4 linked regions of the Astyanax mexicanus genome follow. The main gene of each other region encodes a partner of the protein of the gene in region 3 in a complex. Links are inferred from orthologs where the notes say so. Each region holds a gene or a part of one and is shown on either strand. Other genes may lie near its edges. The genes, in order: lin52, mybl1, lin54 and lin9.

Region 1 (7,959 bases), on a different chromosome or scaffold from region 3:
CCAACAAACTCAGAAATCAAACACTAGATTAATGAAGTGTGGAAGACATTTCACTTTCCATTTTTTTTGTTTTTTGTTTACTTAAAAAAACAAAATATTTTTTTTTGTAAGAATCACAGTTTTTTGTCTACTTAACTTTAGATTTATAACTGAATGAAGAATTTTTTATGCTGAATTAGAAGCAAAACACCCCTGTCCCTTACTAGTGTGGAATAATGCACCTTATAGTGTAAAAATAGATGGATATTCATTAAGCCCTTGATATAATTAAATAGCTCCCGTCCAGTTCAAGGATTTTTTGGACTTTAAATATGAAAAACTACATTTTAGATGTTTTAAAACTTCACAGTTTTAATTCCAATTCAGTTCCAACAATTATTTATGTTTTTTTAATCAGTTGCGCCATCTAGAGGCGAAAATCAGCACTGGCATTAATAAGTATAATATTTAAGGTTCTGCAAAGTGAGAGTGATGATTGTGTTCTGGTTTTTAGTTTAAATTAGATACTAATCTACTTACACTCCTCCAGGCCCAGCTGATACGCCAAGTTCTGTAGTCCTTTAACTTTTTCCATCAGGTTAGCTGTGGTCAGACTCCCCAGTTCTGAGACAGAACAAAAAAAGTTTGCAGTAAAACACAGTTATTAACACAATTATAAAGAGACAAAAATAAGGTGCAGTTTTTAGTCAAAGCAAAATATGAATAAACCTAATATTATGCATTGATGCTATTAAATCAAAATGTACCTTTCAGCATTTCAATGTCTTCTGATTCCAGTTCTGCCATCCACTTGGGTGGAGAGTTTGTGATTGGCTGAAGAAACAAAAAGACATCAGACAACTATATGGCGCACTGAATTTTAAGGCGCATTTTATGCAACACTAGTAAGGAACAGGGGTGTCACCATGCTTTCCTTCTAAATTAAAAGGTCTCACCCCTTTTTACACAGATTCCTCTCTTAAAAACTGTTTATTTGGGTAGATTTCCACTAAGGCTGAGTGCAGCAGCATTAGCATTAGCAGCTAGTGCTAGCCAGGGTTAGCAGCAGGCTACAGTTTGTTAATACTCACCTCTAAGTGGTGAAAGAGCTAGTGCCTAGTGCTGCAGTTAGCGGCTAATGCTAATGCTATTCCAGTCTCAGTGCTGGAGAACTAAACTGAATCTCCTGTATAACTCTGTACTTCAGTGGAGTGTCTTTACTGCTCCTTAATACCTGACTGATAGAATTCATACATAAGGAACCCCGGATTATAAGGAGCTCTGATGATTTTGAGAAAAATTAAAGCATTTTAAGCGCACCTAATAGTGTGGAAAAATACTAACAAGTAATGTAGAGCGACAATACTCACGTTTTTAAAGGTGGCTGCAAATTCTGAAACCCCTGGCACTGTTTTCAAACAAACATTAAAGAAGTAAATATGACAATACTTTCTACAGACCAGAAACATATTCAATCTCAGCATATCTTTAAAAAATATATAAATAAAAAAAAATGACAAAACATTTGTCATAATTCAGCAACTTACACTGCTCTGGCCAAAGGTCAGGTGATGCTCGGTCAAGCTTTTCATAGCTCAGCAAAGAGGACTCAAAGTCCTCACCTATAAAAAAAAAAGGTGGAGAAAATTTAACTGTGAAACAAGAGGTGCACCATATATTCAGTAACTCAAATTATTACTAAATGCTGTGAAATGAATCAAAACCTGTAAAAAAAAAAAAAAAACATGTTGGTTTTCTACATTCATCCATATATTTCATTTTGTTGGTTCTGGCAACTTATTTTGTGTTATTGTAAATATCATAGTGAGATCATTTTCTCACTTCAAATCACTGTCTGATATTTTTCCAATTATCATACAAACTTTAATATCCGAAAAACATAACCTGAGTAAACATTAATAAAAAGCACCGGCAAGAGTGATTTAACCAAGTTATTACATTTAGGGTGAAATACTTTTTCACACAGGGCCTGATTAGTTTGGATAGTTTTTTTCCTATAAAATGCTCGTTTAAAAGAGCTTTTTATATTAACTCAGGTTATATTTGTCTGATATTAAAGTATATGGTTTAGACATGTTGACGCTTTTATATAATTTCTTTGATCCAGTAAGCTATAAATGACTGTAAATATAATCTACATTGATCTAGATAGCAAGAATCAGACTCAAGCGTGGAATGATTTCTGATCATCTGGACTAGAATCCAGAAACAAATAATTTATATTAATAAATTAACAATTAATATTAATTTATATAATTAATATGTTTTACTTTGTCTCTCCAAAGTCTGTCTCCAAAAGTGCCTAAACTCAACAGACTACATATTTACTGACTAAATATTAATACTCTTCACGTTTTAACAAGATCCAGACATTTAAATACCTTTTAAACATCATGGTCAGCTGTTTCTATAGTTTTTAGAGATGGAAGACATAATCGTTGACTAATCGACTAATCGAAAAAATAATAATCAGATTAGTCGACTACCAAAATAATCATTAGTTGCAGCCCTAGTACACATTATAAACATAACAAAAGAAAAATATGTATCCTGCGCCTGTTTCACTTCGTGTTTTTAAACACAGTAACGTGGAACAACAGTATTTAGTCGCTTATTTAGAAGAATAATTTACAGGTGAACCCGGTGTTTAGGGCTCCGTTAGAGCAGGGTAACGCTCGCTAACACACAGCCGGGCTGAGGGTCGCTGTCCCGGTGTAAAGGTGAAGGAGCGCTCGGTCGGTCTGTAGGTAAACAGTCCGTTAGCAGGACCTCCGCGCCGCGGAGCTCCGCTCACCGAGTACCGACCAGCACCTCACACACCCCGACCATCTCACACACACACCACCCCGCATTACAGCCCCGCAATAACCCCGCAAACTCATCCCCGCACAGGAATTAAATTTTACCTCCATTCGGAGACGCCATCTTCACAACCACACACGTGACCTCCTGTAGCCAATCGTTAGTGAGATGTGAAGCGACTGACGTGGGTCGTTCCGCCTCTTGTGACCTACAGACTTCCGGGAAATGTAGTCTCACATTTAAACACATATTTTAATCATTTAGATAAACAAAAATAAGTGTATAAATTTTTTTTCAGCTCATATATAATTTTGATTCGATTTGGAAATTGTTTTAAACAATTTTTGTTATTTAAATTTTCACTTACTTGTGTATTTTGATATTTAAGATCTTAAATTTTAGTTGCAGATTTTATTTTTGGATTTAGTTTTTTGTCCCTGATTTGGCTCCATAAGTGATCGGTATCTGTGTATAATGTGAACACAGAATCTGTTCCTGAATCGTCTCACATGCTGCACATTGATACCTGTATAAACGCCTTCTTCTTCACCAACAACAAAAACCCTCATATTAGAGAGACAAGAGACTCGTAGCTTTATAAAGGGTTATAGATGTAGAGTTTGCAGCTCATATGTGGAGCATCTTTTGCTGGAGTGGAGAGTAAACAGCTGCTCTGAAGTTCATGCTCAGGTCCAGGAAATGAAAAAAGGACAGGCGGTTTGCTTTTGCTTTGTGATTTGGAAAAATTGGATTTGGCATGTTCACACAGCCATACAACCATGATTTTTGTGACTTGCTAACTACAATATACCTTCCTAAAAGTCTGATGTGTTTCCACAATATAATCAGTACCAGCGAGAAATAGAACATGACAGAACATTCTTAAAAACACTTTAATTTTTTTTACACAGTAAAACCTCCCATTTCACATCAATCCAAAGATCACATCAATCCAACTAAAACAATACTGCTATTTGCTTCTTGCTTTCTAGAATCCATAACTAACACTTTAACACTTACAAGATTTATAATTTCAGTCAGAAAATGATAGTGAATTTTAACACTCTAATACTCCGTCTTACTCCATTTAATTCACTATTTAAACACTTCATTTAAAAGGCACTTTTTATTTTGATTGTTTACTTAAGTCAAAACAAAAAAATAATAATAAAAGTACCGCAAAATATGTAAATAATGATTATGTAGTGTTTCAGAACACTGATCACATTCTAATTTACCTTTATCTAATGTAATGTAATAAATGAAATGATGTGGACCACTAGTTATATTAACCAGGCCAATATGCAGTGTACTGAACAAAAAAAAAAAAACGAAAAAAGATTTAACACAATAAAACAAGCACAAAACACATAGTTTTGAGTAAAACTGGAGTTGAATACTTAAAGGGTGAAATGTAACACACTAAGTTTTAGCAGCTCAATAGTGAATAAACTAATAACTTCACAACAAACAAACAAACTAAACAAAACGATCCCCTGATATTTTTATTTCTTTTAAAATTCCCAGGAGTCCAGCCACCGGAGTCCGGCCATGGAGGAGGAGGGATCATGAGCTAACGGCCCCCTCATGCCATAGGAGAGAGGGTGGAACAGATAGAAGCTGCAAATAGAGGGAAAAAAAAACAAAGATTAATGGAAAAAAAAAGAACAGAAAAAAATAGACTAAATAATATACGAGTAACAGCCATTATAAAACTTTTTCGTATTTTTTGCACTTAAAATCCTTTAATTTTCCCAAAAATCATCAGAGCTGCTTATGTATGAATTCTAACAAAAAATACAGCATATTAACTTTTCAATTAAATGGCCCAGAATTATAAAATATATAACAATCTTTTATTAATGTAACTTAAAGATTTTTTAAGTTTAACACAAGTTAAAGGATTTATTTTGCCTTCACAGATATTTTGTAAGAACTGTGACGATCATAAAGCCTGCTGTCGCTCTCACCTGTAGAGGATGCCGACCAGGAGAACCGTCTGACCCCCTCTTAGAATATACTTTGAATACGGTGGTCTACATAGAAGGTCAACATTCTGTAGAAATGTGTCCAGTGTTATTCCTTTAAATAGAAGAAGAAAAAAAATCACAAATTTTGTTCACAAGTTTGTGTTTGGTATTAAAACATTTATGAATGGTACAGGGTTTTAAAATGCAGAACAACACAGAAGAATATTATCACATAAACCACTACTATTCTGTTTGGAGGAGTATGTCCTCAGTTTTCTGTACCTGTAAGCATACTGCTGAAGAGCACAGCAGGGAAGTAGTGGTGGTAGTAGAGAATACGGCCCATGCTGTAGAAGGGCAGGTAGTGAAGCAGCCAGGCCAGGAACAGCATCCCACCACCTTCTAAAATAACCCGGCAATGTGCTGCAAAAACACCAAACAAACAAACACAGTAAAAACCTTAAACTAAGCAAATTCACATATCACAACACTAAATACATTTTTTAAAACAGTTAACTATTTAAAACAAAAGTCAATTTAAATATTTATTTTTCTGCACTTTTAAAGATAAAAATGATTACATTTTATGCACAGAGCACAAAACCATTTACTTCCTAGCTGGATTCAGAATGAATAAAACGAGAGCAAATATGGCTTTGGAGGAATAGGTGTGTTTAAAAAACAAAAAGTAAGAACTCATTTAAAAATAGATGTATACCTGTTAAATAATATTTGGAATAATTGTGAAAAAGATTTAAGAATGTGTAGAACATTTCCAATTAAAAAAAGAATGTTTAAAGCACACATAAATATGAGGAATGAACTACTATTAATGATGAGAGGATCTAATATGTTGATTAACACTGAACCACTATGAAGAGTTAACCGCCTACCTTTTCTCTCTCCCTCTAATTTAGCTCCTCTCTGTAAGGCCAAAGAGCACACAGACACCATGACAACAAACAGCCCCAGACTGAACAGGTTCAGCCACCAGATCACCTGTAGTAGAGAGAGAGAGTCAGGTCAGGTTCAGGTCATCATGCAGATTTCTGCCGATTCACTTGCATTTAAATATCAGCCTTATTAAATGTGTTAAAGGTTTCACTCCACTAAAATCCTCTTGTTCTTGTTCTTTATGAAATACAGCAGGTCTCTCTGAGTTGTTTATAATGCTGCACATGATGAAACTCTTCCTCAACCTCTTCCTCATTGTCTGCAGCAGCTAGTAAAAGAAAATATTCCGAAAAATGAGTCGATCAGGAAAAGCACCGTGTCTACATCAACCTGTGAATTAGTATTCATGGCCCCGCCCACCTCGGCTCGGGACCGCCCACAGGCAGAGCTCAAGCCAGGCAGCAACGCCGTCTCGTCAGATAGGAGGAGCTAACAGCACTAGGAACAGCATGTAGTTCATTCCTGTGTTATTTGTGCGAATAACACATCAGTGTTTATATACTTTACCCAGTAATTCAGAGCTAAGAAACAAATGGTTAGAATTAGTCTATGGAGGAAAGACACCACCAGCCAAGTACAATTGAGATAAGTAGGTGTATATTTAGAATAGTTCTGTTTCCACTAGTTAAAAGTAAAAATATACCCCGGGTGGATTTTTACTTTCTGGACCTAAACTACCCACCTCTGTGTGTAAGTATCTATAGGTTTAAATAGGATCTCCGGTGGATTTGGTGTTTTACAGAGACTCTAAGACTAGGTCAGTGGCTGAACTGCACTTAGCAGGGCATTATTACACATGTTGTAAAGTAACATATGACATTGCAAAGACTGTTATTAGTGTAAAAAATCTCTTTATTTTAAAACATTTCTAACTTACAAGTATCTTGGTCATTAAAAACTGAAAAAATAAGGACATGGACAGAACTAGACTCACAGGGTTCCCCAGCAGATACACTCGGTACTCCGTCTCATTCACTCCAGAAAACCTTAAACCCTAAACACACAGTAACAAAGAATAAATTTTAGATTATTTCCACAATAAAAGTCAGTTGTTATATTCCTCTGAGGTGAACCTACCTGATAGTTGATGGGCCAGTGCCAAGGTTTAGAGTTCACCTCATTGTCCTTAGGTTTTAAGCCACTGTTACCCTGTTAGAAAAACAATAAAACTGCCTCAGCACACAAAACACTTTATTAAAACTTCATCAAATGTGACCGATAATTTTCTGGGCTCATCTTACCCTGATCATGACAATATGAGACTCCAGCAGAATCTCCAGGAAGGAAGGTTTGAGCACATGCAGACTGATGTTGGGCACTAGATAAAGAGAAAGAAAAGTATAATAAAGAATCAAAAAGAAATTGGATATGTTGGTTAAGTTGCAAGAACTTACAATTGGGGTTGATGTGATCCTCAATGTTCCACTGGGAATTGGGAGTTTCCTTTAAATATGGACTACAAGTGACCTCCACCTGCTCCCAGCCCCTTTAAAACATTACAAAGATAAAACATTTTTATTTTTTCAATGTTTGTGACCTTTCTGTCACAAACTCTTTAGTGTTTTCCTAAAATATCTGAACATAACTGCTATTCCTAATCCCAGACAGATGCTTCACAAAAGAATTTTTCAGTTTAGCAGATAAGTAAATCCAAATGTCAAATCTGTAAAGAGATGTTCCTACTGGACAGACCTTAAATTTGCACCATTATGTAGCAACTGTAGTTTAAAACAACTGTTTAGTGGTCAGATCTGCTGAATTAAAAGGAAAACATGGCGACATCCCTGTTTCTTACTAGTGTTGTATAATGTGCCTTATAATCCGGTGCACCTTTTAGTGCAGAAAATACAGTAATTCTTCTTTAAGCTGTAGTAATTCTAACTAAATGTTGTAAATCTGATCTTTTCCTCCTCAGCACCATTTTTAATGCACTCACCACTTTGGGAGGGTTTTTCCTGAGGAAAACAGCACACAGCCAGTGGAGCGATGCAGGAAGCGGACTTTACTGCGCAGGACCTTCACCGGATCACCTTTCTTCCCCCCACACACCTCCACCTGCCACAGGTCATTGAGGTCCCCTGTACCGTTCTGAAAGAGATTAAACATGCCAAGTGACTAATAATGAAGAAAATGTCCAGACCAATGTCTGAACCATGGTTAATGTATTAGTTATGCACTAAATAACTTACAGCTACATCCTGGCATCATCAGATATGTCGGTTATATCTCTCTA
Region 2 (7,603 bases), on a different chromosome or scaffold from region 3:
GAAGACAATGTAATTGTCAAATTTGTATGTTCTCTACTTTTTATTGTCAATAAAGTACTGAATTATTACATTACTTTACTACTTTTTGGAAAACATTTAGTCTTTAAATAAACTTATAAAGTTTTAACATCAACAGCACACTTGAACTTGATTCCTTTTGAAAACAACATTCAAACCTAGTAACTGTGGAGAAACAGTTTCACCCCCGCCCCTCTTCAGGAGGCACACAGAAAGGGGCAAGGGTAGACACACACACACACACAGCAGTGCATTCATCCAGAAATTACGTAATAGCCAAACCTTAGTCTTTAGGCTCTTCAAACAAACCCTCCATCTCTCCCATTCAATAATTTCCATCACCTTCCTTGGACAACACCAGTCACCCTTTACGTCTTTTAATGTACTGTATATATACTACTGTATTACACTGTGTGTAATGAAGCTAGGCCTCAGCAGTTCGTTTTACATCCTATGAAATTAATTTTGAAAATAAGATGAAACATAATCTTTGATTTTGCACCATTTTACATATGAGAACATATTCTTACTACATTAATTTTACTTTCTCAAGACATGTGTTTTGATGAAACTTTTTTGAAGCAGCTCTTTGAAGTACAAAAACAAGTGCATGATGTACAACCAAAGCTAGCGAACCAGAAATAAAGTATCTACACTTCTTTAAAAACATTAATATAGGGGTTGGCCACATGCTGCATTTTTAACATAATATTGTGGTGCATCACCATGCCAGTTTTTGAGCACATTATACATGTCAGCAACGGAATGTTTTATTATAAAGATAGCATACCTAAAAATGAAAAATGTAATAATACAAATAAATGTTTTATACTAAAAAGCATCACAGCTCATCCAACTGGCTGGAGTGTAGCCACTATGAACCACTGATATAATCTAAAAAAATGTACTTTAGTAAGAAACCTAGACTATTTTTGTGTGGAACCTAATATTAGCTAAAGTAAGATGTGCTCTAGTAAGAAACCTACAATGTTTTTTGTGGAATCTTCTAGCAGCTACAGTAAGAAGTGCTTAATAAGAAACCTACAATGTTTTTTTGTGGGTAATCTTCTGGCAGCTATAGTAGGAAGTATTTTAGTAAGAAACCTATACTGTTTTTTGTGGAATTTTCTAGCAGCTATAGTAAGAAGTGCTTTAGTAAGAAACCTGCAATAAAAGCTACAGTTTAGTAATAAACTGCAAATATAAACTAAGGAAGTAACTGAATGACAGATCAGTGACAGCTCAGCACTACACAAGCACACAGCCAGAGAGCTAGCGTTAGCTAAGCTAACCTAGCTATTTAGCTTAGCTAGATAGTTAGCCAACATTAGCAATTAACAGGTAGGTTAGGTTAGCAAAGGTTATACAGCCCCTGTGTGTAATGATGTAGCTTATCACACTGTTAGGGACATGGTTTCACAGCCCTGGATTAAATAATGACTATCTTAGCTTTAGCTTGTTAGCACTGGCTAGCTAGCATTATCCAAAGTGTGGCTAGCTAGCTTAGCAACTAGTGTCAAGGAAACGTCAGGCTGCTTTGTGTTTATTAGTGTTAGCCATATTATGATTATCTAGCTGTAAAAGCTGATTATCTAGCTTTTATTGTAAGATCAGAATTTAAAAAGTTGTTAAACTAGGTTTAACTAGTGTTAAACTAGATACTAGTTAGGTTAGCTTCTGCATGTAATACTGTATTAACCCATTAACAGGCCAGGATTTGTGTAATTACATTTTCTGCTTGACATTACACCACTAAATCTTGAGGAGTTCTATACAAGCATTACATAAAAAAGGTTTCATGTTTGATAAAGAACTTTACTAAAAAGCACAAATGTAATTGTAATAGAAAATATTGACAAATATTTAAATATATCTGCTAATGTCAAAATATAACAAATAAAATCATAAAATTAGCTATTTCCTGAACTTCATTCTAAAATCATTATTTTCCTGAACACAAATCAAACATTTCATGTTCTCCAAACCTTTAGTTTTGTTATGTTTTTCTAGTTTTACGTCTATTTTTAATCATGCAGAATTTGGGTTGATTTTGTTATTGATCTGGGATTATTAAGTGGAATAGAGAGTGAACAGGCAGCTTCTCAAAGTGTCCTGTAGGAGATTTCAAATAAGTTATTTTACTTCAGAAAAAAATGTGTTTTATATAATCTACACCTGTAGCCTGTAGACAGGACAAGGCATGTTAAAGAGTTAACTAACTAGCTAGCTTGACCCTAATGTGAACAGTGTTAGGGCATAGCAAAATTAGCTTCTATGTAAGTTAGCTACAGATCCAGTCAAGGTTATTGTATTCTAGTGGGTTCAGGTCTAATGAGAGTTGGAAAGATAAAGAAGAGTAATTCTACATCATGACACAAAACACAGAGAGTAAGAAGTCTGATCATCATAGCTACAGTCTGAGTAGTTAGTTAGTTAGCTGAGTATCTGAGAGTGTCTCTCACCTGCGGGACTTAATGTTGGCCATGTCAGATCCGGTGCTCTCTGTAAGTGACAGGGTCGCTTCTTATCGAAAGTAAAACGAGTCACAGGAATAATCCACAGCTGCAGTCACGCCTAAAATCCAAACACACCAGGATCGACCTCACTGACATTTATCCGGCCGCTCGCCGCTTGTCAGACAACTGTGTATCTTCTGTCCTCCTGCATTAAACTCGCTGTAGCAGCTTTAGTCAGATTATAATGTTCAGTCCTCCAGTCCTGTTTCAGAAAAACCGCGCAAAACAGAACAACACAATAATACACAGCTCCCTACACCCGCTGTTATAATCACCGCGCTCAGGCTATAGTTATAATCCTGTACAGAGGTGAACGGGCAATGGACGGGTATCTACTGAGAAACATTATAACCTAGCTAGCTATCTCTCTGCCCCTGTGTGTGTTTTGCCCGCCTTGTCTCCAGAAGCTCGCCCTCCTCCTCCTCTTTCTCGCTCCTCTCTCTGCTGATTTGTGTGTCCCGCCGAATCGCGCGCTCCTCCTCCTGCTGCTGCTCAGTTTGAATCTGCGCACGCGGCCTCGCAGCTGATTGGTCAGAAGCCGCGCCGAGTCAGTGGCGCCTCCACGCTCCGCGCGCAACAACACATTTACCGTCAGTGTGTCGTACATTCCCTGTCAGCTTAACACACACTCACCACTCACTAATCACCCACTCAGCACCACGTTATAATTTTAAGTGTAGTAATATTTTCATTTCTTATGCATCCACCATGAATTAATACATTTACCATAATTTTACCACATGTTCATTATCAATTTATAATTTCTTCTAATTTCTCATGCACTTAAAATCAATATACCACATATTCACTAACAACACATTAACATTTTAACATTTCTTATGCACTTAGCATCAATATACCACATATTTACTATTAAGTATCAACTTACCACACCATAATTTACCACAATTTTCACTCTCAGCTATCAACTAACCGCACATTTTAACATTTCTTATGCACTTAGCATCAATGTACCACATATTCACTATCAACTAACCACACATTAACAGTTTAGCATTTCTTATGCACTTAGCATCAATATACCCCATATTAGCTATCAACTTACCACACAACAACATTTTAGCATTTTTTTTGCATTTAGCATCAATATACCTCATCTTTACTATCATCTTACCAACATTAACATTTTAACATTTGTTGTGCATTTAGCATCAATATACCACATATTTACTATCAACTATCAACGTACCACACCACAGTTATTCAATATCAACCATTAACTTACCGCACATTTTAACATTTCTCATGCACGTAGCATCAATATAACACATATTTACTATCAACTGACCACATAGTAACAGTTTAACATTTCTTATGCACTCATCCGCAAGATACCACATATTCACTATCAAGTCACCACATTTTAGTTATTATTCACTGTTAATCAGTTTATAATAAATAAACTTTCCAACCATCAACTTTACAGAAATTCACAATTAGTTTATCGTACATGTTCATATAGAAATTGTACTTTCTGATATGTTCAGTTCAGAAAATAGTACTGTAAGAGTAATTAAAAGCATTAAAATGAATGAATTCACCATATGAACATGTCTATCCTATATTATATGTCAATCCTAATTGTATGCAGATCTGAGCTGTGTGAAGTGGTGGAGGATATTTTTCTCGTGATGTTTTGTCGCCCTCGTGTGGACAGTACAGGACTACTGCTTCAGAAAAAGCACACCCAGTGGTTACACTAGTTTGTGTAAAAACCGGTTTGTATAAAATACACAGTAAAATTGTCATAACAAACAGCACTGTGCACGACTGTGTTTTGCACACTTAATGTGTTTAGGAAACAAATTTATTGTCAATATTCATGGAATATTTATGGAATTCGTGAAAGAGGTGGCATATCTTCCTAGAAATTCCCTCATGTCACAATTAGATCAGTACATGGACAAAAGTGTCCTTTCCATCGTGTCAAAATGTTATAATTACTTTAACAATAAGTAATTCAAAATTATTTTTAACGAATCATTTTAAACAAATGTTTCTCACTTTTGGAGATACTCCAACATGCTCATATGGGGCTCACATGTCCTAGGTGGTTCTCAGGTGGTCATGGGCTCTAAGTGGGTTTTTGTACATGTGTTTTATTGGAACCCAGTTGGAACCCGTCCTCACAGCACACGTTAATCTCACATGGCCTCTATGTACAGAGAGTACAACCCAGATGTGGCCCATGTTTAACCTCTCTGGACCCATCGCTGACCTTGATGGGGCCCACCATTGACATTTATATGTGGGGTCAACATAGAACCCATGGACAAAGCTTTCTGGTTCCCAGTTGGACTACTCATACAGGCCCCACATGGGCATGTTATATGTATGAGTTTTTTGCTTGACAATGGAAGTGTCATATTTACATCAAAAATACATAAAAAACTTCTGTGATCTTGTACATGGTTTTGGTATGTATGTTTAATAGTATGTAATATTAAATTCTGTATTCTGTAAGTGTACAGTGTATGGGTGGTCTGTGTACACTCATACAGCGCACACTATATATACTACACAGTATACATTCCATTATTTTTTTTGCCTTATTGTTGAAAAGTTAAATTGTCATTTACAAATATAGAAGAAAGCAAAAGCAAAAATCAAAACCAGATAAATATTATGGCAGAGGGTCATAACAATTCTATTTGTTAGAAAAGATTTTAAATAAATATTTGTTTACAATTTCTACTATTTATGACAGACCACACAGAATGTTTCTTTACTCAGCCAGTTGTATTTGAAAATCATCGTACTGGGAAAATCTAATTTACTCAAATCCTAAGCCATGGCATCGATTCCTAACTTTTTTTTTATTTATGATTCTTTAGTGCATATAAAACAAATCAGAAAAGCTAAAAATACATAAATACGTCTTCTGTTAAAGAACTGTATCAAACTATATTGATAATTTCAGTGTGTGACTTGTATACCAGCTATATGTTTATGTGTATAAGTTTATATATGTGTTTAACTTTGTCATCTTTTCAGTAATGAATGTCTTAATGTCCATTACAGCTGGGCGATATGGTGTTAAAATAATATTTAATAATATTTTATGGTATTTTCGTGATAACAATACTGTTGGCGATATGACAAAACACTGAATTTGAATGAAAAAAAATATTTAAAGAATACACCACTGCAACAAAATTAAAATAAATTATATTATTGCAAACGATATGATATGGCACACCCCTAACTGAAAAAAAATACGAGAATTTTATCAGATTTTAACAGAATTCAATGATCCAGAATATCATGATATTAATAATGCACTCCAAATATCTTCATATATCCAGGATTAAAGTAAAATGAATGATAATCTGTCTCTAGTAGATATAATGGGAAATGGGAAAACAGTATGATATAATGTGGTATAATATCTTCCATAATATACAAATATGTTGGTGATATTATTGCGTACGATGCGATATGGCACACCTTTAATTTCTATGTATTTTATTTATTTTTTAGTTTAATTTGTGTACTGTTACTTTATTTAAAAAAAATGCATTTAAAACAATACAACCACTCCCTGTACATTCACTGTTAAATATAAATAAATGATAAATAAATAAATCATTATTTAAAAATAATAATAGTTAAAGTTAGAGTCGGAGGAGGTGAGGTGTAGCGGAGTAAAGTTAGTTTGATATTCGATATTCAGCGGAGATTCGCCTTTCGGCCGTTCTCTTGCTCGCAGGCAATGTCCTAAACTCTCCCAAATTACATTTTCCAAACCACAGAAGAACAGAGAACAAACTACAAACGTCAGATTTTCTGAAAACACCCAACCTTTCTGTTTCTCCGAGAATATTTACTGAAAATGGCAGGAATCGCTGCAGCGGGCGCTGAAGCTGTTAAGGGACCGTCTGCAAAGTACGGACCCTGATTAAAAACGTAAACATTCACAGCTCCGTTTAATGCATTTCTACTGTAACACGCCCATATGAAATATAGATAAAAAAATCATACGTAGTCTTTAGAGACACACCTGAAAAATAACTACAACTTTTATTTTTGAAAAATATGATTTGGTTGATTTTATATTAATTTTTTAATAATAAAAATTGCTACTGTACTGCACTAATATGAAATATAGAAATAAAATCACTTGTAGTCTTTAGAGACACACCTGATAAACATACTACAACTTTTAGTTTTGAAAAATATGTCTCGGTTGATTTTATATTAATTTTGTAATAATAAAAATTGCTACTGTACTGTACTAACATGAAATATAGAAATAAAATCACTTTTAGTCTTCAGAGACACACCTGATAAACATACTACAACTTTTAGTTTTGAAAAATATGATTTGGTTGATTTTTTATACATTTTTTAATAATAAAAATTGCTACTGTACTGTACTAATATGAAATATAGAAATAAAATCACTTTTAGTCTTCAGAGACACACCTGATAAACATACTACAACCTTTAGTTTTGAAAAATATGATTTGGTTGATTTTTTATACATTTTTTAATAATAAAAATTGCTACTGTACTGTACTAATATGAAATATAGAAATAAAATCACTTTTAGTCTTCAGAGACACACCTGATAAACATACTACAACTTTTATTTTTGAAAAATATGACTCGGTTGATTTTATATTAATTTTTTAATAATACAAAAATTGCTACTGTACTGTACTAATATGAAATATAGAAATAAAATCACTTGTAGTCCTCAGAGACACACCTGATAAACATACTACAACTTTTAATTTAAAAAAATATGATTTGGTTGATTTTCTTTAAATTTTTTAATAATAAAAATTGCTACTGTACTGTACTAATATGAAATATAGAAATAAAATCACTTGTAGTCTTTAGAGACACACCTGATAAACATACTACAACTTTTAGTTTTGAAAAATATGACTCGGTTGATTTTATATTATTTTTTTAATAATAAAAATTGCTACTGTACTGTACTAATATGAAATATAGAAATGAAATCACTTGTAGTCTTTAGAGACACACCTGATAAACATACTACAACTTTTAGTTTTGAAAAATATGACTCGGTTGATTTT
Region 3 (7,988 bases):
TAATCAGCAAGTAAACAAACTGAAATAGAAATAGTACAGATTCAAGAAGAACTGTTTTTTGGCCAAAAACTAGGTGCTTATTTGGCGAATGGTGCGCTATTAAAACAGACACCGTTTTTACTTAATAACTCTCTGCTTGTGTGGATTAGGAAATAAACCAGATTAACATTAACAGGGCTGTAAAGGGGGATGAGCTGTCAGGGCTGGCTAATATTTGTGTGGCTAGCTTACCTACCTAGCAGGGTTAGCTAACCTAACATTAGGTTATAGGTTTCAGTACATAAAACTGTAGGAGCCAACAGCCTCTGGCTAAAGAAACACGGACTGGTTTGCTGGTAAATTCCTGAAATTTGATCTTAAAACTAACGCTAACTTCCTAGCTAGTTAAATAATTAATTCTATAGCTTAACCAACCTGACGCTATATCTAAACGCAGTAACGTTAGGTTAGTTACCAGAGGCTTTGTTTTTCTAGCTGTTTTAAAGCTAAGGGTCTTAACATATATAAAATACGGTGCCTGTGAATGTTTAAAGTATTATTTAAAGGCTTATTTGGATGTAATCTTATGGTATATACGGTTTAGGTCTCTTTAATCAGCTCAGAACTAACAAAAAAATTACAGTTTGTGTCCTACCTCCTCTCTCTGTGAGTGTGAGTGCTGGTCAGAAAGGCGAGTCAGGCAGCTAGCGTTAATGTTTTTCAGCAGCGCTGCTCCTGTTTAAATGACATAAATCGCGACATTACTCTGCATTCTCTGAATAATCATTAGTCGATATAAAAGTACACATATCCAGGCTGAACAGGGCGAGGTGTGGTGATGAAGAGCCCTGCGGAAAGCGGGCAGCGGGGCTGTGTTTCTATTTCAGGCCCGGGTTGGATTTCGAAAGATCCGCCATTTTCAACTCGTCATCAGTTCATTTCCAGACGCGAGAAAAACAACAGCGGAGCGGCTTGGTGCGTTTTGGGTGGGATTTGGTTAGTTTTGGTGGGTTTTTAGTGGGATTATCGTGGAGGTAAAGAGTTTAAAAAGCATATTCAAACGTGCAAAAAATATATACATAAAAAAACAATTACAATAGTTTATTTGCTAGTATGCAGAGTAGGTGTGGTTAAAAAACGTTAAAACAAAAACGAAATATTGCGAAAATAGCAAAAATGTTCAGTTTATTTGCACTTTTTGTAGTTTAATAATCTATAAATAATCTGCACATTAGTATTCTTGTAGAGTTTTGTTGTTATATTACTTTATATTGTTTCATACACAATCTGGTTAAAGTCTGGGTAAGTTATTACAGACAAAAGTTTAGAGAGTTGTTTTTCTACATAATGTCTTTACATTTATAATAAGTAAAATATTTAAAAAATAATTTAACAAAAAAAAACAATGTTTGCTCATATCTGCAAGAATATCCTTACTGCAAAAATACCCTAAAGAATTGCAATGTTAAGAATCATAGGGCTGCAATGATTAGTCAATAAACTCGATAATGTTGATTTGACTACAAATGTTATTGTCGACTAATCGTTCATTTGCAACAGTGCCGTATTACACAAGTGCTGGGGACAGAAACGCAATGGGAGATGGATAAATGTCTCACTCAAACAGTTTATGCTCAACTCCAAAAGTGCCCAAACACAACAGATTACATACTTACTCACTAAGTGTCAGTATCTTTTTACATTTATACAACATTTAGACACGTAAATTCCTTTTAAATCTCATGATCAGCTGTTTTAATTGTTTTTAGAAGTGGAGGACATAGCAGAAATATTTGTTGACTAATTGAAAAAAATAATTCAGATTAGTTGAATACCATAATAATCATTCGTTGCAGACCTAAAAATTTGTGATGCACAGCATCGGTTCTGCTTAGCACTAGCTACAAAACTTATTATATTTTATCTTGATTAAAATAAGCTTGATTATTATTCAAACCATAATGCATGCTCTTATTGACACATATTTTGCCGCATGTTAGCATATTTTTAAATGCCAGGTGATTTCTTTAAAAACACCTAATGCCAGCTATTAATCTCAAAATACATTCCACCTTTCATCATTAATGCATTGAATCAATGTTATGGTTTGCAGTGAAGAAAAGTGTTGAAAAGCTCATCTGCTCAAATATTTTAAATCTTAAATTACCCCTTAAGCAATGATAAATAAATGTTATTTTAAGGTTGTTTTTTCATTGTCAACCTTAAAAGATGTAATGCAACTAAACTTGTAAGTTTATTCTGTTAAGCTACCAATACAATCAGTTTACAGCACAAATAAAAAAAATCTGATTCTTCTCAAGCTCTAACCTAGTAACATTATAGTTATTTTAATTAATTAGTTAATCAATCATAATAAAAGATCAATAAAAATAATTGCCTCGATTTCACACTATTAAGGGGTTAAAATGTTATATATTACATTAATTAAATGTAATATAGCCCTCCTGTTTCAGAAAAAACACATTAACTAGCTATAGCTAACTCACTAAATAGCTGCTGTCATTACTGTCAACTCAGCTAAGCTAAGCTAAGCTAGCTAAGCTACCAGAAAAAATGTCACAATTTCCTCCCTCAATTAGACTGTAAATTAACTGATATATACTTATATTATAATCGTATAGTCCTATAACATTAATCAGTGGTCTGCAGCTCTATTTTGAGCCACTTCTATTCAGGGTGTCAGCAGTTTTACAGCGAAGCCGCAGCTGAACAGAAAGTCCGCCCTGCTGAACCTAAACAGCGCATATCAGCTGTTAGCTCGGCGGCTAACCCGCTCCGATCCCCCCAAACCCGCAGCTCAGCACCGGGAATCTTACAGTTCTATTACGGTCGCTTCCTCGGGAATGTGGACGCTTGTCGCCGTGTTCGTGCACGGCCCAGTCCGGTCCGGTACAGCTGGGCCCCGCACCGCTTTTCTCTCGCTACGTTTCCCGAAACAGATCCGATTGTTTAAAATACCGCGCCGAGCGCCATTTCACCCCTAACATCCCATAATGAGGCTCCGCCTCCATGGGAACCCGCGTGTTACGTCTACAGGGAACGCCCGCGCGCAGGAGTTGGCTCCTTCTAGTGTCTCATCTTCCACGCTACTCCCTACGCCCTACTCCCTACAACTACCAACCATATTCTGCTCACTATTCACTACACCCTTTCTACTAACTACACAACACTTCTTCTACACTATTCCCTACTCCCATATACTGCTCACTATACACTACACCCTATCTACTAACTACACCAAATAACTACACAACACTTCTTCCAAACTACTCCCTACACCCATATACTACTCACTGTACACTACACCCTATCTACTAACTACACTAAATAACTACACAACACTTCTTCCGCACTACTTCCTACACCCATATCCTGCTTACTATACACTACACCCTATCTACTAACTACACAACACTACTTCCACACTACTCACTACACCCATTTCATTGCTTGCTTTACACTACACCTATAACTACTAACAATACCATATACATACATACATACATACTTTTTTACATTACTCCATGCACCCAGTGCCACATATACAACTGCTCCCTACACCCTAACTACTAACTACAGTATCTTCCAAACTACTCCCTACACCCATATACTGCTCACTATACACTACACCCTAACTACTAACTACACCATATACACAACATATCTTCCACACTACTCCCAACTCCCAGTGCCACATATACAACTGCTTACTACACCCTAACTTATAACTATGGCATATTCATAACCCATCTTCCACACTACTCCCTCCCTAAACCCTAACTAGTAACGACTCAGAGGACCAATCACAGCTGCTGCTGTCCGCATCGCACAGTGCACTGTTACACTTTTGGGTAGGGTCTGCATAGGGTATGGCATAGGTTTGCTACAGAAATATAAATTGGTCTTTAAGAATGTGAGGCCATCTGTACAGAAAACTACGTGAATCCTCACACAGCAGAAAGACTTCTGCATGGAGGAGTGGGAAAAACATTTCAAATTTCATTGTCAGGCAAATGGGGATATACCGCCTATTATTTGGGAGGTAAAATGAAATGTCAAAAAGCTATTTGCCATTTTAGTTAAGTTTTTTTTGGCCGGGTATGAAGTGGAATTAGTGCCAAACTGAAAAGCAAACACCAGTGTGAAAAATTGTAAAATGCAATCCAGATGTATAGGGGTCATACCTTTTTCCTCTGAAGACTTTTTTTTTATTTAGTTTATATGTTTAGTTATATTATAGGTAGTTATGAGTTATTTATGAATTTAGTATGAATGTGCATATTTGAAATTTCTGCTCCTTGTTATTAGTTTGGCAAATCTGTTGTATTGAGTTGATATGTAAGAACTAAAAAATCTAATCACTCATATATATTTGAAGAATATCGAAAATCGATTTTATTATTTTACCATATCGCCTAGTCCCTGCCACCATCGGGTAATTGATTGGAGGGCCTGGTGTTCTGTCGAGTTATGTTACCCATCGATATATGCTTCTTAAAGGTACTGCGCATGCGCTGACCTACTTTTTTACTTTTACTTTTTGATCTCGTGTTTTTTTTATATAAAAAATATATTATTTGTTTTCTTGGACTCACTGTCATTGCACAAAAGTGTGAATTAAAATTATTAATAATAATAAATACAATAATTATTTTTATTAAAAAAGCTTTCATTGCCATAACCTTAACATGATATAGTGATTTATGCTATCCAAATACATATACTAGCCAGCGACATCTACTGGGACTTCTACTGTGAACATGCTGTAATATGGTGCTTCTTTTGTATTTTTACAGTTAAATATACACGAGGGTAGCACGGTTTGACAAGATAGCACAACTCGACAGAACACCGGCCATTGGTGGTGCTGTACCCCGTGGAGAGTGCGCTGCCCTTCGGCCTGTCAGAAATCAGATCTCCGCGCTGCTGGTTGTTGTGTATTGGGGAAGATGGCGTCCGGTGTGCGGCAGGAGCTCGCCCAGCTGATGAACTCCAGCGGATCTCACAAAGACCTCGCTGGAAAGTACGGATTTCTACTGCGGCTTTTATTTATTATTCCCTTATGTGCAGATCCAGCCCAGCAGCTTTATTACAGCGGGTTTAATATAGCTAATATAGATCCAGGACGTGGCTAGAAGGTGCAGCTACATGCTAGCTAACTCGCTCATGCTAACTGTAACAGCTAACTGTAGGAGCCTGCTTATGCTTATGCTAATGCTAATCGAGGAGTTAACTAGCTAGCTACCATAGCTAAGCCGGTGAGCTTATTTTTTTTTAGAACTCCGACTTTTGTGAAAGCTAGCTTTTACAAAAAAACATATTATATAAGCTTTTAATAATCGTTATACTCGGACACTTTTTGTTTATTTTATTACAGTGTATCTGCACCTAGTTAACCACAGACCTATCTGCATGGTTGTTAGCTTGTTAGCATGCTAAGCTAAGTAGCTTTGTTGATTCTAATTCTGGCTAACGTGCAATATCTATATAGTCTATAAAGATTTTAATAAATTAATATTTGGTGCAATAACCTGTTTTTTAAATCACAGTTTTCATGCATCTTGGCATGTTCACCTCCACCAATCTTACACACTGCTTTTTGATTACTTAATGCCAGTCCTGGTGCATAAATGTGGCTTGTGATCATCCATGGATGGCTTGTGATCATTCATCTCTTGATTATATTCCAGAGGTTTTTAACTTGATAAAATCAAAGAAACTCATCATATTTAAGTGGTCTCTTGTTTTTCCCAGAGCTGTGTATATTCACTAAGTTAGTTATATAGTTAGATAGTTAGCTAGTTGCATAATTTGTATGCATCAACATTGATTCAGCATTGAAATGCCAGCTGGAAACCTCAAAGTAGCTCCGCACTTTATTGGTACAATTCTGACATTTAAAATGAGGCACTGAGAGCTTTAAAAGTGTACAGATAAACAACAGCTGATAAGCCAGTATATTGGTTTTCGGACTGCATTTTTAATGTATAATATGCATTTATTGTAGGTATCGTCAGATTCTGGATAAGGCAATACAGTTCACAGATGCAGAACAACTGGAGGCACTGAAAGCATTTGTTGAAGCCAGTAAGTATTCCAACACACATTTCATTAGAGAACACCTTGTAGCTTTAAATGGTCTTTTCACAGAAGAAGGACAAACATTCTCAGATTTAAAAAGAGTCATTTTGGAGCATTTCACTTGAAATGCAATAACACTAAACGGGAAAAAAGAGAAAAAAAAATAACAACGTGTGAAAGGGTCTGCAAACAACAGATCAAAGAGTCCAAAGGACAAAATATACTGATTAATGGTTTGGTCCATCTTCAGTGTGTAAACACTTCTAGATGGTTTCAAACGTTTGGACCAATTACTGGAAGCTGAGGCAGAACTGGTGTTGTGCTGAAATGCGTGTCATTGGCGTGCAGGCACGTCATGCAGACACATGGATGCAAACACTTTCGCTGGTGATTCCAGTATCTACTGTAACTGTAGATTAAGCTTTATTTATAAACAGAAATGAAAGCAATCCGAGGGGAATCTTTTATCTCTGCGATGGAGAGTTCAATTCTGGTAGAGAGGTAAACTTTGGCACAGCACCTGGAAAAGCAGTTCACAGAAGTAACAACATTCTACAAACTAATTAATGTGAAGTTTAGGGAGATTTACTACAAGTAGGTGATGATGACGGACCATACTTAAACTAACCGGACCATACGTATCTAATGTAACAAAAACGCAAACCTTGGTGTGGACTCTGCTCTGGATTTTCAGGTGTTAAACACCCTTAGCTGTTATTTAACCTCTGGTACACCAAGTTTATATATTTCTCGCTGTGAGATGTTTCTGTTGTCTTCTTCCTCTGCAGTGGTCAATGAAAATGTCAGTCTGGTGATATCCAGGCAGCTACTCACTGACTTTTGCACACACCTACCAAATTTACCCGACAGCACAGCTAAAGCTGTCTACCACTTTACACTGGAGAAGATTCAGCCAAGAGTTATCTCCTTTGAAGAGCAGGTGCGTTTGGACAATTATACAGTACTGTGCTCAAACATGCACACTCATGTTGTTTTCACCAATATTTATTATATAATGATTATACTTTGGTTAGCAAGAGTGCTACATTAAACCTTCCTATTTCTTTCAGGTGGCTTCAATCAGACAGCATCTAGCCACTATATATGAGAAAGAAGAGGACTGGAGAAATGCTGCACAGGTTTTAGTGGGTATACCTCTGGAGACAGGACAGAAGTAAGTCAGTCTACCTTACCTTTGAATTGATTTTTTTTTTATTCCCATGATCTGTGTGTCATTTGAAAAGCAAAACCTTAGAATTGAAGTGTTGATTAGTATAATATTGTTTAGGATAAATACAAATACATTTCTTTTTTTTACATAAAAAAATCTTACATTTACAAAAAAAATGTGTATATTAAAATAACTCCAAAGCTCTTCTCAAGATGAGAGTCTTGTATTATTTATAGACAATATCAACACATCTACACTTAGTTTGGTAAAACAGTTGAGCTACTCACAGAATTGAACACATCCACTGTGGTGCTGGTTGGGGGCATCCAGGAGAAATCTGGTAGAATCATTGTTCCTTAAAGTAGCCCACAAGATCTCTACTACTTTCTTCAAAATGAGAAATTCTTGTTACATTTTACTGAATTAAATTTTCTGTGAATCATTTAGTGGCAAGATGAACTTAAATATCGTAAAAATATAAGGGATTTCTTCTGATCACTGCTCCCATGTATTGTGCCTTGATAAAAACGTAGTCCAGTCTGAAATACTCAATATGTAAATGCAATAGTTTTATGGCATCAAGAAACCAACGAATTTAAGACAGTTCAAATACTATAGTTTGCACATAATGTGATGCTGCCTGAAAATAATAGTCTCCTGTGTGGTTGTTTTCAGACAGTATAATGTCGACTACAAGTTGGACACTTACCTGAAGATTGCCCGCCTTTATCTGGAG
Region 4 (7,786 bases), on a different chromosome or scaffold from region 3:
AAATATGGGTATTTAAATATATCCAGAACAAACAAAACAAGACAACAAAACTGAGACATGCATACCAAACCACAAATATGCACACATTAATCTATATAATTTATCAACCACATAAATATAACCAAAGACTATGTTCATGTTAAATCTCAAATCAATTTGTTTTTCTTTAAACTCAGATCAGATTTGGCCAACTTGACGATTAATATCTATATATGTAAGTGGAACATGCCTGTAATGTAAACAATCTTTCCCTGAATCAGCATGCATGCACGCACATCAGCTCCACATACAAGAAACAGGACTCATTATGGTACGTCTGCCTGGTCATCTAAGTGTACCTTAAATAATCAGGCAAATAAAACTTAGTCTATTTCTATTTAAACAAGCAACCGGACAAGCCACTTACCGTTTCCATAGACGTGTAGCTGCTCCTTCCCCTGGTGTTCTGAGATTTTGGTAGGTTGTTTTTCTCATTTAAAGTGTTTGACAAACTTCCTTCTACAAAGACATATAACCGCAAAGAGGAATGTGCAGTTAACTGAATAACAGTAATCACATATTTAATATAATTACTTTATTTGCATTTGCATATGTATGCAGCTGCTTAGAAATATTAAACCTTTAAGTGCAATTACCTTTAAGACTGACAAGAGCTTTCGCTGAAGAGCCTGTAAATAAAATAGGGGGAAAAAAAAGAAATTCTCTAAACAGGAAAAATAAACAGTGATCTGTAGAACAAGATTTTAAAATCTGATACATGTTTACAGCTAAACATATAAACACTAGAACGGGCAATTAAATTTAGCACCTGATATTAAGGTGCTATATCATTTTTGAATCATGTTTGGAACTCAAGGTTTTGGCAAACTGACTAGATAAATTAGCACCTAATACCTGATGAACTTCAGGGGATGGGTTTACTGTTTTAAATCCCTTAGACGCAAAAATATTTCTGGAATAAAATGTTACCATTAATTGGGAAGAAATAAAATAAAATGCCATAATTTCTGCATAGCACATTTCATAATTATGATAAACTGGAGTTATGCATTAAACAAAACAAACAAAAAAAAGACAATTAGAACTTGGAAACCTTCATTTTTGCATATAGCTTTACCTACTATGTTCAGCAAAGATATTAAATATATGTTCGCAGCATGTTAAATTATTAGATTCTGTTTTTGTCTTCTTTTTTTTAAGTGATCTATAATTACAATTACAATATTATTGGGCATCTCAGTTTTTACTTTTTACTTGTCGGTTTTACTTGTCATTTGAAGTAAATCCTCTTACTCTGAGACATAAATATAATCTAATAGGATTACATAGTAAAAATGTAAATATTGGCTAGCATTATTATTATTAGCACTATTGTTATTAATTTCTTATTACTACTACTACCCTCTTAACAGGTCTAATAAGCTAGCTGGTCAGACCTGTAGGCTGGGTGTTGTAGCTACAGCGCTGCTGTAAAGTAAATGGACCCTTTATGAGGAGGACAGGCGGCTGTGTGTGTTTGTAAGGTGTGCCAGCTGCTCCTCTAACAACCTGTAGTAAGAAATAAACCTATACTGTGACTAATAACGGCTCGCACAGTTTGATTTCGAGCTGATTTTAGCACAGCCAAGACTTCCAGCACACAGTAACGTTAGCTAACATTATAAAAACAGAGAGACACAGAGTAGCTACACTGATACTCCAGAGCTAACAGCCCAGAAAACAACCGGGGGTGTTCCGTCGAGATGCGCTACTCATCGAAACATGCTTCTTAAATACACTACGCATGCGCTGACCTAATGGAAATTAATAATACATAATAATACTTGTTATTTAAATATATGTATATTTCTCCTGTTTTTTTTTATTATAAATCTGTTTTTTTCTGTGCATTTAACAACCTGGACTCACCTTCATTGTACAAAAGTGTAAATGGAAATTAATAATACATATAATAGATCTTATTAGAAAATAAAAATTCGTGTTTCATTATAAATCTGTTTGGAGTTTTTGTGCATTAAACAACCTGGACTAACTTTCATTGCACAATAGTGTAAATGGAAATGAATAATACATACAATAATTATTATTAAAGAAAATACATATACAAAAGCAGATTTTAAAAGACCTCTCATTGCCATAATGTTACCATGATACAGTAATTTATGCTATCCAAATATACTAACTAGCTACAGCTACTGAAAAAAATGCTCTAATATGGTGCTTCTTTTGTATTGTTGGAGTTAAATAGAGTAGCACGATTTGACAAGGTAGCACAATTTGCCATAACACCGGCCACAGCTAACGTAACTAACAAACTAAAGCGTAACCTACAGACGAGACCCTACAGCAGTGTAGGTGAAAAACAGCGCTTTATAAAGAGCTTTAGTGAGAGAACAAGGAATCTAAGAGCAGTTAGGAGCACCATTATCTCTGTTTATCTGTATTCAGCTGAGAGTGACCCCCTGATAAAGAGCTTTAGCTACACAGCCGAGCAGCAGCAGCTGTCACCGACCTGCGGAGATCAGAGAGACACACAGAGCCCCTCAGACACCGGGATCAACTCACACAGCCCCCCGGCTCTCAAACACACAAACACCCAGCCCCGCTCCCAGCTCCTCCCAGCCCCGAGCAGCCGCTCCGCTCACCGGGAGAGTCCTAATCACTCTGTTTACCGGCGGGTCGGAGAGAAAGTACAGCTGAACTGCTTTATTTATAGCTCTGAGCCGGGGCTAGCCCGGCTAGCAGCTAGCACCTAGCAGTTAGCATCGCTGCTAACTAGCACTGAGGTGAAGTTACTACAGCTCAGAGACCCGGCGCCTTCACAGCCCGACACAGACCTCAACAAGCCCCCAACCGCTTATAATCACAAACCGCCCGCAAGATAGTCTGAAACGCGGTCTGTAGACCACAGCAGAGCCCGGGTTTACTACTCACTCTCGTCCAGCAGCTGCTCCAGCTCCGCCATCTTGAAGGAGCCGCGCCGCTTTTCAAAGCCCGAATGACGCGAAGCATTCTGGGACAGAGACTCAGGAGAGGGCCGTTCAAACCCCCTTACAGACTGTAATATTATTATAATATACAGCCTACAGTTCAAACCCCCTTACAGACTGTAATATTATTATAATATACAGCCTACAGTTCAAACCCCCTTACAGACTGTAATATTATTATAATATACAGCCTACAGTTCAAACCCCCTTACAGACTGTAATATTATTATAATATACAGCCTACAGTTCAAACCCCCTTACAGACTGTAATATTATTATAATATACAGCCTACAGTTCAAACCCCCTTACAGACTGTAATATTATTATAATATACAGCCTACAGTTCAAACCCCCTTACAGACTGTAATATTATTATAATATACAGCCTACAGTTCAAACCCCCTTACAGACTGTAATATTATTATAATATACAGCCTACAGTTCAAACCCCCTTACAGACTGTAATATTATTATAATATACAGCCTACAGTTCAAACCCCCTTACAGACTGTAATATTATTATATACAGCCTACAGTTCAAACCCCCTTACAGACTGTAATATTATTATAATATACAGCCTACAGTTCAAACCCCCTTACAGACTGTAATATTATTATAATATACAGCCTACAGTTCAAACCCCCTTACAGACTGTAATATTATTATAATATACAGCCTACAGTTCAAACCCCCTTACAGACTGTAATATTATTATATACAGCCTACAGTTCAAACCCCCTTACAGACTGTAATATTATTATATACAGCCTACAGTTCAAACCCCCTTACAGACTGTAATATTATTATAATATACAGCCTACAGTTCAAACCCCCTTACAGACTGTAATATTATTATAATATACAGCCTACAGTTCAAACCCCCTTACAGACTGTAATATTATTATTATATACAGCCTACAGTTCAAACCCCCTTACAGACTGTAATATTATTATATACAGCCTACAGTTCAAACCCCCTTACAGACTGTAATATTATTATAATATACAGCCTACAGTTCAAACCCCCTTACAGACTGTAATATTATTATAATATACAGCCTACAGTTCAAACCCCCTTACAGACTGTAATATTATTATAATATACAGCCTACAGCTCAAACCCCCTTACAGACTGTAATATTATTATAATATACAGCCTACAGTTCAAACCCCCTTACAGACTGTAATATTATTATAATATACAGCCTACAGTTCAAACCCCCTTACAGACTGTAATATTATTATATACAGCCTACAGTTCAAACCCCCTTACAGACTGTAATATTATTATAATATACAGCCTACAGTTCAAACCCCCTTACAGACTGTATTATTATAATATACAGCCTACAGTTCAAACCCCCTTACAGACTGTAATATTATTATAATATACAGCCTACAGTTCAAACCCCCTTACAGACTGTAATATTATTATAATATACAGCCTACAGTTCAAACCCCCTTACAGACTGTAATATTATTATAATATACAGCCTACAGTTCAAACCCCCTTACAGACTGTATTATTATTATTATATACAGCCTACAGTTCAAACCCCCTTACAGACTGTAATATTATTATATACAGCCTACAGTTCAAACCCCCTTACAGACTGTAATATTATTATAATATACAGCCTACAGTTCAAACCCCCTTACAGACTGTAATATTATTATTATATACAGCCTACAGTTCAAACCCCCTTACAGACTGTATTATTATTATTATATACAGCCTACAGTTCAAACCCCCTTACAGACTGTAATATTATTATATACAGCCTACAGTTCAAACCCCCTTACAGACTGTAATATTATTATATACAGCCTACAGTTCAACCCCCCTTACAGACTGTAATATTATTATATACAGCCTACAGTTCAAACCCCCTTACAGACTGTAATATTATTATATACAGCCTACAGTTCAAACCCCCTTACAGACTGTAATATTATTATAATATACAGCCTACAGTTCAAACCCCCTTACAGACTGTAATATTATTATAATATACAGCCTACAGTTCAAACCCCCTTACAGACTGTAATATTATTATTATATACAGCCTACAGTTCAAACCCCCTTACAGACTGTATTATTATTATTATTATATACAGCCTACAGTTCAAACCCCCTTACAGACTGTAATATTATTATATACAGCCTACAGTTCAAACCCCCTTACAGACTGTAATATTATTATAATATACAGCCTACAGTTAAAACCCCCTTACAGACTGTAATATTATTATTATATACAGCCTACAGTTCAACCCCCCTTACAGACTGTAATATTATTATAATATACAGCCTACAGTTCAAACCCCCTTACAGACTGTAATATTATTATAATATACAGCCTACAGTTCAAACCCCCTTACAGACTGTAATATTATTATTATATACAGCCTACAGTTCAAACCCCCTTACAGACTGTAATATTATTATAATATACAGCCTACAGTTCAAACCCCCTTACAGACTGTATTATTATTATTATATACAGCCTACAGTTCAAACCCCCTTACAGACTGTAATATTATTATTATATACAGCCTACAGTTCAAACCCCCTTACAGACTGTAATATTATTATAATATACAGCCTACAGTTCAAACCCCCTTACAGACTGTAATATTATTATAATATACAGCCTACAGTTCAAACCCCCTTACAGACTGTAATATTATTATAATATACAGCCTACAGTTCAAACCCCCTTACAGACTGTATTATTATTATTATATACAGCCTACAGTTCAAACCCCCTTACAGACTGTATTATTATTATTATATACAGCCTACAGTTCAACCCCCCTTACAGACTGTAATATTATTATAATATACAGCCTACAGTTCAAACCTCCTTACAGGCTGTAATATTATTATTATTATATACAGCCTACAGTTCAAACCCCCTTACAGACTGTAATATTATTATAATATACAGCCTACAGTTCAAACCCCCTTACAGACTGTAATATTATTATAATATACAGCCTACAGTTCAAACCCCCTTACAGACTGTAATATTATTATAATATACAGCCTACAGTTCAAACCCCCTTACAGACTGTAATATTATTATAATATACAGCCTACAGTTCAAACCCCCTTACAGACTGTAATATTATTATAATATACAGCCTACAGTTCAAACCCCCTTACAGACTGTAATATTATTATAATATACAGCCTACAGTTCAAACCCCCTTACAGACTGTAATATTATTATAATATACAGCCTACAGTTCAAACCCCCTTACAGACTGTATTATTATTATTATATACAGCCTACAGTTCAAACCCCCTTACAGACTGTATTATTATTATTATATACAGCCTACAGTTCAACCCCCCTTACAGACTGTAATATTATTATAATATACAGCCTACAGTTCAAACCCCCTTACAGACTGTAATATTATTATATACAGCCTACAGTTCAAACCCCCTTACAGACTGTAATATTATTATAATATACAGCCTACAGTTCAAACCCCCTTACAGACTGTATTATTATTATTATATACAGCCTACAGTTCAAACCCCCTTACAGACTGTATTATTATTATTATATACAGCCTACAGTTCAACCCCCCTTACAGACTGTAATATTATTATAATATACAGCCTACAGTTCAAACCTCCTTACAGGCTGTAATATTATTATTATTATATACAGCCTACAGTTCAAACCCCCTTACAGACTGTAATATTATTATAATATACAGCCTACAGTTCAAACCCCCTTACAGACTGTAATATTATTATAATATACAGCCTACAGTTCAACCCCCCTTACAGACTGTAATATTATTATAATATACAGCCTACAGTTCAAACCCCCTTACAGACTGTAATATTATTATAATATACAGCCTACAGCTCAACCCCCCTTACAGTATTATTATTATTATATACAGTCTACAGTTCAACCCCCCTTACAGACTGTAATATTATTATAATATACAGCCTACAGTTCAAACCCCCTTACAGACTGTAATATTATTATAATATACAGCCTACATTTCAACCCCCCTTACAGACTGTATTATTATTATAATATACAGCCTACAGTTCAAACCCCCTTACAGACTGTAATATTATTATAATATACAGCCTACAGTTCAACCCCCCTTACAGACTGTAATATTATTATAATATACAGCCTACAGTTCAACCCCCCTTACAGACTGTAATATTATTATAATATACAGCCTACAGTTCAAACCCCCTTACAGACTGTAATATTATTATAATATACAGCCTACAGCTCAACCCCCCTTACAGTATTATTATTATTATATACAGTCTACAGTTCAACCCCCCTTACAGACTGTAATATTATTATAATATACAGCCTACAGTTCAAACCCCCTTACAGACTGTAATATTATTATAATATACAGCCTACAGTTCAACCCCCCTTACAGACTGTATTATTATTATAATATACAGCCTACAGTTCAACCCCCCTTACAGACTGTATTATTATTATTATTATTATATACAGCCTACAGTTCAACCCCCCTTACAGACTGTAATATTATTATATACAGCCTACAGTTCAAACCCCCTTACAGACTGTAATATTATTATATACAGTCTACAGTTCAACCCAGTTCAATCAGAATACTACCTTAGCTTAATCTCCAACTCCACAAACCCCCAGAACTTCTGGAAAAATGTAAATTCCCTTAAAAAGAACTCCAATCCCTTTCGTACCAGGGCTTTAGTGGATGATCAGCTGATCTCAGATCAGAAGGAACTCTGTCAGGTTTTTAACTCTC

What was found.
Region 1: lin54 (region 3) and lin52 share a complex: the UniProt entries of both Homo sapiens proteins name them as parts of the DREAM complex. The link is inferred for Astyanax mexicanus from reciprocal best matches to the Homo sapiens genes LIN54 and LIN52.
Region 2: lin54 (region 3) and mybl1 share a complex: the UniProt entries of both Homo sapiens proteins name them as parts of the DREAM complex. The link is inferred for Astyanax mexicanus from reciprocal best matches to the Homo sapiens genes LIN54 and MYBL1.
Region 4: lin54 (region 3) and lin9 share a complex: the UniProt entries of both Homo sapiens proteins name them as parts of the DREAM complex. The link is inferred for Astyanax mexicanus from reciprocal best matches to the Homo sapiens genes LIN54 and LIN9.

What each region holds. Positions count from the first base shown.
Region 1 is NC_064421.1:48,536,463-48,544,421, reverse strand, and holds the start of lin52 (protein lin-52 homolog), read right to left. Parts: upstream 3,001-7,959; 5' UTR 2,926-3,000; coding exon 2,907-2,925; intron 1,602-2,906; coding exon 1,527-1,601; intron 1,388-1,526; coding exon 1,350-1,387; intron 814-1,349; coding exon 747-813; intron 604-746; coding exon 520-603; intron 1-519. Other genes in the region: pomt2 (protein O-mannosyl-transferase 2), read right to left, coding at 4,317-4,422, 4,773-4,884, 5,055-5,195, 5,666-5,771, 5,878-5,994, 6,661-6,720, 6,804-6,875, 6,968-7,044 and 2 more.
Region 2 is NC_064408.1:97,493,635-97,501,237, forward strand, and holds the start of mybl1 (myb-related protein A), read right to left. Parts: upstream 3,007-7,603; 5' UTR 2,504-3,006; coding exon 2,481-2,503; intron 426-2,480; exon of another isoform or gene 301-425; intron 1-300. UniProt on the Homo sapiens protein: Transcription factor that specifically recognizes the sequence 5'-YAAC[GT]G-3'.
Region 3 is NC_064427.1:22,631,341-22,639,328, forward strand, and holds the start of lin54 (protein lin-54 homolog), read right to left. Parts: upstream 3,008-7,988; 5' UTR 2,817-3,007; intron 904-2,816; exon of another isoform or gene 635-903; intron 1-634. Other genes in the region: cops4 (COP9 signalosome complex subunit 4), read left to right, coding at 4,950-5,023, 6,008-6,087, 6,870-7,021, 7,152-7,255, 7,928-7,988. UniProt on the Homo sapiens protein: Component of the DREAM complex, a multiprotein complex that can both act as a transcription activator or repressor depending on the context. In G0 phase, the complex binds to more than 800 promoters and is required for repression of E2F target genes.
Region 4 is NC_064408.1:79,656,644-79,664,429, forward strand, and holds the start of lin9 (protein lin-9 homolog), read right to left. Parts: upstream 3,011-7,786; 5' UTR 2,966-3,010; coding exon 2,935-2,965; intron 669-2,934; coding exon 636-668; intron 499-635; coding exon 407-498; intron 1-406. UniProt on the Homo sapiens protein: Acts as a tumor suppressor. Inhibits DNA synthesis. Its ability to inhibit oncogenic transformation is mediated through its association with RB1. Plays a role in the expression of genes required for the G1/S transition.